2 linked regions of the Neurospora crassa OR74A genome follow. The protein of the gene in region 2 binds, or shares a complex with, the protein of the main gene of each other region. Each region holds a gene or a part of one and is shown on either strand. Other genes may lie near its edges. The genes, in order: NCU00050 and ace-4. A codon is read from its position in the direction of its gene.

Region 1 (4,377 bases), on a different chromosome or scaffold from region 2:
CACAGTGGGAGGAGCGGTTACGGTAGTGATGACAGTGGATGATGAGGTCGGCTTCTTTGCTACCTTCTTAGCCTTGGAGGCAAAGAAGCGTGCCGTTTGGGCGGTGCGGAAGCCGGAGCCGGAACCGGAACCGAAGACCAGGACGAAACGTGTTACCGAAGCTTGAGATGCAGTCCTGGCACATGGCGCCGTGCGGTGTGCAAGCAGGACGAACTGGCTGCTGAGCCTACTGGAAATGGAAGCCATGGTGCTGTGTTGGATGACGGGCGGTAGTTCTGTACGGCGCCGGGGTAGCTGCCGGGGGACGGAGATCGGCAACGGAGTTTATGTGGATTTGAGGGCGAGCGGCTCCGGTCCGGGTCCTTGTCAGTTGACGGCGGGGAGGGGAGGGAAACTGGATCACGGTGCGGCCCGGCCACCTGCTGCCGTTTCGTTGCGTTTCGGGGCTTGTACGTACACTACAAAACCGTTCGTCAGGTTATCTTCGGACCCGGCCCCGCTCCCAGGTCTCGAATATTTTAGCGGATTCCCCTCAGGAACTCGGTCCGCAATGGAGCTCCGCTGGTGGGGACCGGTTCTTGGCTGCAGGGGAGAATTTGGAGGCCGAAGACGGGGGGGACGGTGAATGGGGGCATTAGAAAATATGGGTCTGATCACGTGCCAAGTCGCTTTTGGTACCTTCTCCATACCAGCTTGTAATTACGTCCGCGAACAGCCGTCAATACCCGACTTCTTTGCAAATTACCAATTAGTATTAGGGTTAGTTAGGGTTAGTTAGGGTTAGTTAGGGTTAGTTAGGGTTAGTTAGGGTTAGTTAGGGTTAGTTAGGGTTAGGGTTAGCTCCGGGGGTGCAGGGGGCCGGTGAGAGGCCCCCGCATGTGAATGTGAATCGTTAATATTGACATATGTCAACCATATGCCGGCCATATGTTCTGTAATTACGGTAATTATACGGGTGACTTTTGATACCTTCGGCTTAAGGAAAGTGGAGTATGCACGGACCAGTCTAATGCCCCTAATCACCATGCCCGAAGACGGGCTGACGGGGGAGGACATGGATGTCCCCAATCCTTGCTGACTCTACACTACAGTAGCGCGAGGATGATGACAACCCCGGGCAACTTCCATTGAAATTTGGCTCCAGTTTTGACTGTAGCGCGCGTCCTGCGCAGAGACAGCTGCTCGGGTGCTGCACGCCAGTGATGTGTGGTGAAGACGTCGCCCAAAAAAAAAAAAAAAAAAAAAAAAGAGAGGTTCGTTGCCCAAAGAGGTTTGGGGACATGGGGCGGTCGCGGGGGTTCATCGGAGGATTTGGAGGGTGGTCCAAGCTTCCCACGGTCGTTTCCCCAACATGTCGCTCATCGACCCTCATCAGCATCCACAAGCTGGCGACAGCTTTTTCTGGGTTGGTTCCCGTCCGTTTTCTGTCGCCGCCGGGTCCGCAGCCAGACTTCTTGACAGGAAGACAAAAAGATCCACTGCCCGCTGCCCATCCCGTCGACCTCGCGGTGGAATTTAGCATTGAACCTGACTCGTTTGACATACGTCAAGCATAAGGCTCAATTGGAGATCCCCAGCAAGCAGCAACCACGAACCCCATTCTCGATTTCCTTGCTGGAAACCACCATAGCCCTATCGCGATATCCACGTTGACCAGGCATTTCACGTCTTCGTTGCGACAACACCACATAATCATCCGCCATGGCTTCGCTAACAGCAGCTTGTCGCATCTCTGCCAGAATGGCAGGGCGCTCCGTCAGAGGTCGGTTCTCTCGGCTCCCGTCACCTGCCCGTCAACATGATGCCCGCTTTAGGTGCCTAGAAGGTCATCACTTGCTGACTTGGAGCAACATGCCATGTAAACAGGTTTCCGTACCTCTGCCGCCGCTCTCGCCGCCCAAAACTTTACCATGCCCGCTCTGTCGCCGACAATGACGGAGGGCAATATCGCGACCTGGAGGGTGAAGGAGGGCGACAAGTTCTCTGCCGGTGACGTGTTGTTGGAAATCGAGACCGACAAGGCCACTATGGACGTTGAGGCGCAGGATGACGGTGTCATGGTCAAGATCATGAAGAACGATGGCGCCAAGGGTGTTGCTGTCGGCGCCCGGATAGCTGTTATTGCGGAGGAAGGAGATGACATTAGCTCTCTCGAGATCCCAGCCGACGCAGCCCCACAGTCCAAGCCAGCCGAGTCAGCACCCTCGGCACCTCCCCCACCGACCACCGCGGACCAGTCTAACGTTGCCGTCCCCGAATCCGCTCCTCAGAATGCTTCGTCCAAGTCGGCTCCCAAGCCTCCGAAGAGGCAATACCCCCACTATCCTTCCGTCGCCCATCTCCTCAAGGTCAACGGCATTGACGCCGCTGCCGTTAAGGATATCACCCCAACCGGCCCCGGCGGCCGTCTGCTCAAGGGTGACGTTCTTGCTTACCTTGGTAAGATTAACGCCCAGACGCCGTCCACCGTCTCCGAGAGGTTCGAGAAGCAGTCGCACCTCGACCTTAGCAACATCAAGGTTGCCAAGAGCACCGAGGCTGTCAAGGCCACTACCGAGAAGGCTCAGTCCAAGAAGCTGGATGCTCCCGCTCCTCCTCCCGTAGCTGTTGTCACCGCGCCTATTTCTCTGTCCGCCGCCATCGATGTTCAGAACAAGCTTCACAAAACCATCGGCGTCTTCCTCCCTCTTTCAACCTTCATTACCCGTGCCACCGAGATCGCCAACCAGAAGCTACCCCTTCCCGCAAACTACCAGCCTACTGCCGATGAGCTCTTCAACCAGGTTCTCGGTCTTGACAAGGTCACTCGCAAGGAATCTCGCGGCTCCTATACTCCCACGTTCGGCTCCTTCGTGGCCCCTCAGCGGGCAGCTCGCAAGGCTGATATCATCGATATTCTCGCCGCTCCCTCCACGCGCGTTGCTGCTTCTGCTCAGAGCAAGTCCGCCGCCCCCGGATTGACCACTTCTGGACCCAACGTCTTCAGCCTTCAGGTACCCAAGTCGGAAGAGAAGAGGGCCCAGGCCTTCCTTCAGAAGATGAAGCTTGTTTTGGAACAGGAGCCTGACAAGCTTGTACGTGCCTAAAAAAAACTTAATGATCTGTTCATTCTTTTTCATCCTGCGCTCCCTCAATTGCCTTTTATAGAGAGGGAATAAAATGCACATAATGCACATGGGGTTTACTTGCTTGACATATGTTGGTATTGGATTGTATGGAGTAACTTGTTAGCACTAGACTTCCACTTTTATGGCTTCATGATCTAGGTTCTCTACTCTTAATGTTCGGGAGGACAACATGCGCTTATGTGCGGACATCCTGGGCATTTTTTAGTCGCGTTTCAACCGCTCGAATAACCGAGACATGATTGCGTTATGGTTGGCGTGCCTTTAGCCCATGAGCTCTGTGCTCGACGGTAAAGTTCTCCGCTCGTATGGAGGGATTTGCCAGGCCATGTTTCGGTCATTTGATCAGCTCGTACGTCCAACCGCCATGCAGCTCCTGTTCATGAGCAGGTACACTGTGACCTGATCTTCACAGGTCATCCGTCAAAAACTCGAGGTACGGGAGGAAAATGATTCAGTTCGAACTCGATGTTGATCAACATCATAAGCCAGGCCTCTGTCACACAGCGGTAAGGTATATTGTATCTTGGGCTATAAGTTTTTCTGGCCGCCAAGTACACTGGAAGACTTCATGGCACATAAGTGATAGACCTCCGTAGAAGAAAGAACCAGCTTTTTTAATCATTTCTCTCAAGGTCTGCCACTAGAGCCTTCTGGAGGAGGCTGAGATTGAACCACACTATGTGCATATAGTGTAGGCCTCATCTCGTTCGAGACCATCCATCAACTCATCATGTATTCAAAATAGAGACACTTGACAGATTAATTCTTTCCCACAAAAGACACTCGAGCCTCGAATTATCTGAACTTACTATCTCAATACGGTAGAGGTGTCCATACCACCAGGACCTTCGTAAAGAGCCATAAAGAGCCTTACTGGATGAATGGTAATGGATCCTGTTTGAAACCACATTGGGGCACTCAGTCCGAAAACACCTGCGGCGTGTACCAAAAGCATTCGTACCCCTAGGGGAGATTGAACGCTAAAGCCATTTCCTGGTATAAGCCGAGTGAACATTTCCCACCCCACGATGAATTCCCAATGATTGCTATATAGGCCCACCACGTCTACTACACCTATCATCACATGGTCTGGTCCGCAATCACATATCCCAATACATCCACTCGTCTCATATGAGGTTATACTCATGCCTCCTACATCTCCAATCACACCCCCGCTTTTACTTCTACCTCCTCGCCTCTCTTTTTCCCATATACCCATCTTGTCCAATCAAGCACTGACCATATCGTT
Region 2 (4,378 bases):
GCAGACGAAGGTCAATCTCATCCGGCCGCTTGGCCATAAGCAGAAAGTCAACTGGTGCCGTCTGCCGCGGTCGGTCTGGAAGTTGACAGTCTGACACCTCGTTGTTCATCAACACCAGCGGCCGCCGCCCATTATCTTGGCATCACACTTATGATGCCCCCTGGTCAGGACCTTTCCTCGCTTTGCCAAAGCAGAATCTGTCCAAATACTGATATCCAAAATTAAAATTGGTATCCTCAGCCAAGCAGCAGGTTTGCCAAAACATGGCAGCTTCGACCACATATTTGGCTAGAAATGGACAAACAGATTGGGGTGCCATTCCCAAATCCTGTATCCAAAAGTCCTCAAGTTGCCTAACCGATGCCGGGGCTGAACTCAACTCTAACAAACGAAAAAGAAACAAAGATTTCCTGTATTTCCCGCACACCTCATGCTCAAGTTTTTGCTTATAAAAAGTGGGATCGAATCATTATACATATGGTGGTTGAGAGAGAACACAAACATGACACTGAATGGAACCTCCCAAAAGCTTTTGTAGCATCAGCTCGCTTTTTTGTCAACCAACTGACTGACATTGTCATTCCATCACCTCTCTTCCTCCCATCCATTCATCCATCCTTCCAATGCCTGCCCATTTCTATAAAATCTCATGCGCCGGCCTGCCGTGAACTTGGGGCCAAGTGACTGCTATCTAGTTTGCAGTCGCTCGATCCGTATAACTCCACTGAACGTCATCCAAAACAGAGTGCTATTCGCGTTTAAAGGAGGAGCTCGAGAGGGTTCTCAATGACCTTCTTCAACTCGCGGATCCACTCGGCACCGACAGCACCATCGACAACCTTGTGGTCAAAGCTGGCAGTGACGATGATCTGCTCGTCCCAAGAGACACCGGTGGTGCCATCCTCGTTCTCAACGGGGACGGCAACCTTCTGGGGGGCGCCAACGGCAAGGATGGCGGCCTGGGGAGGGTTGATGATGGCGGTGAAGCTCTGGACGGCGGGGTTCATGCCCATGTTGGAGATGGAGATGCTGCCACCCTGGTACTCCTCGGGCTTGAGCTTGCCGTCGCGGGCCTTCTTGGCGAGCTCCTTGACGGCGGCCGAGATGCTCTCGAGACCCTTGCCCTCGACACCCTTGACAATGGGGGTGATGAGGCCGTTGGGGGTGGCGACGGCAACGGAAACGTCGACGGTCTCGAACTGGCGGATGACACCGTCGCGCCACGAGCTGTTGACGGTAGGGACGCGCTTGGAAGCAATACCCATGGCCTTGATGAGGAAGTCGTTGACCGAAAGCTTGTAGCGGCCATCAGCAGAGCTGTTGAGCGCCTGGCGGAGCTTGAGAAGCTTGCTGACGGAGAGGTTGGTGGAAACGAAGAAGTGGGGGTTCTCCGTGACAGACTCCTTCAAGCGGGCGGCAATAGTCTTGCGCATGCCAGAGATGGGGACATCAGTGTAGGCAGCGGCGGCGGCACCGGCAGCGGGAGCGCTAGCAAGAGCCTTCTTGACATCCTCCTCAGTGATCTTGCCACCGGGACCAGAGCCCTTGACGTTGCGCAGGTCGATGCCCTTCTCGCGAGCGAGTCTCTTGGCAGCGGGGAGAGCGTTGGGCTCGCGCTCGAGGGCAGTCTGGAAGCGGCCGGTGAAGCTAGTGTTCTCGGGCTCGGGAGCGGGAGTAGGAGCGGGGGTCGGAGCGCTGGCGGTGCTCTCGTTCTTGGGCTCATCCTTGGGGACAGCGGGGGAGGTCTCGCCGCCGGCATCCTTGAGGGTGAAGTCCTTGAAGGCGTTGACGTCGGTGCCCTCCTCGACGAGAATGGCAATGGGCTAGAGAAGGAGGAAGAAGCATGGTCAGCATGGGTCGTCTGTCTACATTAGGCGCGCACAAGCTAAGGCGACGCGGGGCGTGTAGACGCTCAACGGCACCATGACATATCACCCGACAGGCGAGACACAGGGCACGAGGCGCGCACGAGGCATAAAGGAAGAAGAGTGGATTCAGGGTCGAGTGGGGAAGAGGGTCGGGATGGGAGGAGATGTGCATGGAGTCATGGAGTTGGAGTAGGTAGGGCTGGAGTGTTTGGCAGGTATGATGACTCGTGGCTCGACAGGTAGTGTAGGTAGGTACTTACGTTGCCAACGGCGACGTCCTTCTCGCCCGAGTCCTTGAGGATCTTGGCGAGGACACCCTCCTCCTGGAACTCAAAGTCCATCTGGGCCTTGTCGGTCTCGATCTCGACGAGCACCTCACCGGGCTCGATCTTGTCACCGGGCTTCTTCTGCCATGCGCCAATACCGCCCGAGGTCATGGTGGGCGAGAGGGCGGGCATCTTGACGACGGTGTGAGGGGGGTACGAGGCGTACCATCTTGTGAGGCTGGGGAGGGCGACACGGGCGACGCTGGCATGGCGGAGAGCCTGCCTTGAGAGGACGGGGACGATCATGGTGAGAGGGTGTGATGTGAAGGTTGGGTGGTTGTGGTGGTGTTTTTTTTGAGAGAGGAGGTTGTGTTCAATTTGCTAGTATGGAATGTTTATGTGGGGATTCCAAACCAAGCTGGAGGAGCAGCACTCAGCAGCAGTGGCAGCGGCGGCAGGACCTTGGAGAGGGGAAAGGCCGACCGGGGGGGAGGGGGGCAGAGGGACGCGGGTTGGAGAAGCTGGCTTGTGCGGAGGGAGGCCGGGATGTCTGATTGATGGACGCGGATTCGCAGTAGGGCCAAGCCTGGAGGTGTAAGTCGTCGACTGCGCGAGTCAGGTTGATGCGGAAAAAGAGTGGAAAAAGAACGGGAAGATTGCAGGTTTGGAAAGATGGAAGACTGCGCGAGATGAGATTCGACCTGAATGACGGATTCGTCGTGGAGAGCACAACAGGAAGATGACAGCGGGCAGCGGCGGGATACGGAGCCGGACTTCAATCGGCGACACTCGTGAACTTTTTTTTTTTTTTTTTTTTTCCCTCTCTCTCCACTGCGGCGGTGGCATCACACTTTCTCACTTCCCGTCACCAACCACACTCACCACACTCACTGCCCGCCTTGTGTCCCCTCAGCTCCTTGCTCTCTGCCCCCCTGCGATTTCTCCCAACAGTTGGGGGAAGCTCCCCCCAGCAGTTCCAGCGTAAGCAGAGCCCCCGCCGAGCCAAGGCCAGGCTATTTCAGGGCTAGCACGGCCTCGCAGCTGCCCGGTGCCCAAAGACAGCAGGAGGCCAAGCTTTGAGAATCCCCCGGTCGCGCAACGGGGAGTAAATGACGCTAAGCCTAATGGGGGCAGATGGATGATTGATTACTTGATAAGAGAGGTTGCAATCACGAACTGGAATTGTCAAGCTAACCTAGCTTTGGAGCAGTGATATCTTGTTTGAATATCTATATGTATGAGCAGCGCGCATGGAGGTGCTATCTGTATTTGCGAGTTATGAAGACCTGAATATCAAGTAACCTTATGGACCAAAGTGAGATGCGGACTTCAACAGTTCTCCGATGAACAACCTCGAGAGAGATGAAGTGCTGACAGGGACATCGGACTGGCAGCTGCACGGATCCATAACAGTTCGCGCTAAGGTACGGATTACGTTCTGCGGGCCGATCGGAGGATTTGATTGCGATGGAAACCGTCAACTCCAAGAGGATTGGACTCTGCAGTGTCAGTGATGTCAAACTAAGGGACCCGATCCATGAGAGATGCTGCAGAATGGCATATAATGACAAAATTGGACTGGTGATGACATTTCAGTTTTCGTATGTACAAGCAATCAGGAGCAGCTAACAACGGTCTCTCGTCATCAGTCATATTCCCAACCTCTGAAGAGCTTCGTATCCGAGTTGCCCTGAGATCGTGTTGTAGAAGCTGAAAAGGCACACGACTTGGTTATTGATTAAACTTCCCACGAGGTATTCATACCATCAAGACTCCAAGCCTATGGTAGTAACACAAGTTACAGTTTGGCTTCCCTCCGATGGATGTGAAATACGCCGTGTCATGGATCACCGGTGTCCAATATGTCCAAAGACAACTGATACGCAAAAGAGATGGGATCCATATCTACAATGGAAGACGGGATTGAATGGCTATCATCGGATTCTTCAAAAGCTGACGCCGGCGGCGGGCTACCAATGAACAGACCAATTACTGACCCATGCGTCAAAAAGAGTATCCACGGCTGCAGTTCCGGCAGGCAAAGCGGCTGGCAGATAGATTGATACGTACGGAGATAAAGTGAGAGGTACGTAGGTACGTGTAGGTACCTGATGGAAGAGGAAGGGAAGTGGAAGGGTCGGGAATGGTCCGTGCCCGCGACACTCACTGCAGCCATCAGGGTCTTGATGGACCCACTCTTCAATTGAAGGCTTGCTGTCAACTTCCACTGTTTCGGTCGGCAAG

Evidence for each region.
Region 1: the proteins of ace-4 (region 2) and NCU00050 are in contact, whole or in part, in a cryo-EM structure (PDB 8OHS), measured with the Neurospora crassa proteins. Residues at the interface, in XP_962786.1 of Neurospora crassa: Lys263 (codon at 1,349), Lys266 (codon at 1,340), Leu267 (codon at 1,337), Gln269 (codon at 1,331), Ala270 (codon at 1,328), Pro453 (codon at 779), Leu454 (codon at 776); in XP_956161.2 of Neurospora crassa: Leu323 (codon at 2,772), Gln326 (codon at 2,781), Val327 (codon at 2,784), Leu328 (codon at 2,787), Lys332 (codon at 2,799).

What each region holds. Positions count from the first base shown.
Region 1 is NC_026503.1:2,412,707-2,417,083, reverse strand, and holds NCU00050 (pyruvate dehydrogenase X component), read left to right. Parts: upstream 1-1,357; 5' UTR 1,358-1,701; coding exon 1,702-1,762; intron 1,763-1,866; coding exon 1,867-3,086; 3' UTR 3,087-3,873; downstream 3,874-4,377. Other genes in the region: NCU00051 (hypothetical protein), read right to left, coding at 1-246. UniProt on the Saccharomyces cerevisiae protein: Required for anchoring dihydrolipoamide dehydrogenase (E3) to the dihydrolipoamide transacetylase (E2) core of the pyruvate dehydrogenase complexes of eukaryotes. This specific binding is essential for a functional PDH complex.
Region 2 is NC_026504.1:431,300-435,677, reverse strand, and holds ace-4 (pyruvate dehydrogenase complex), read right to left. Parts: upstream 2,953-4,378; 5' UTR 2,441-2,952; coding exon 2,129-2,440; intron 1,824-2,128; coding exon 759-1,823; 3' UTR 161-758; downstream 1-160. UniProt on the Saccharomyces cerevisiae protein: The pyruvate dehydrogenase complex catalyzes the overall conversion of pyruvate to acetyl-CoA and CO(2).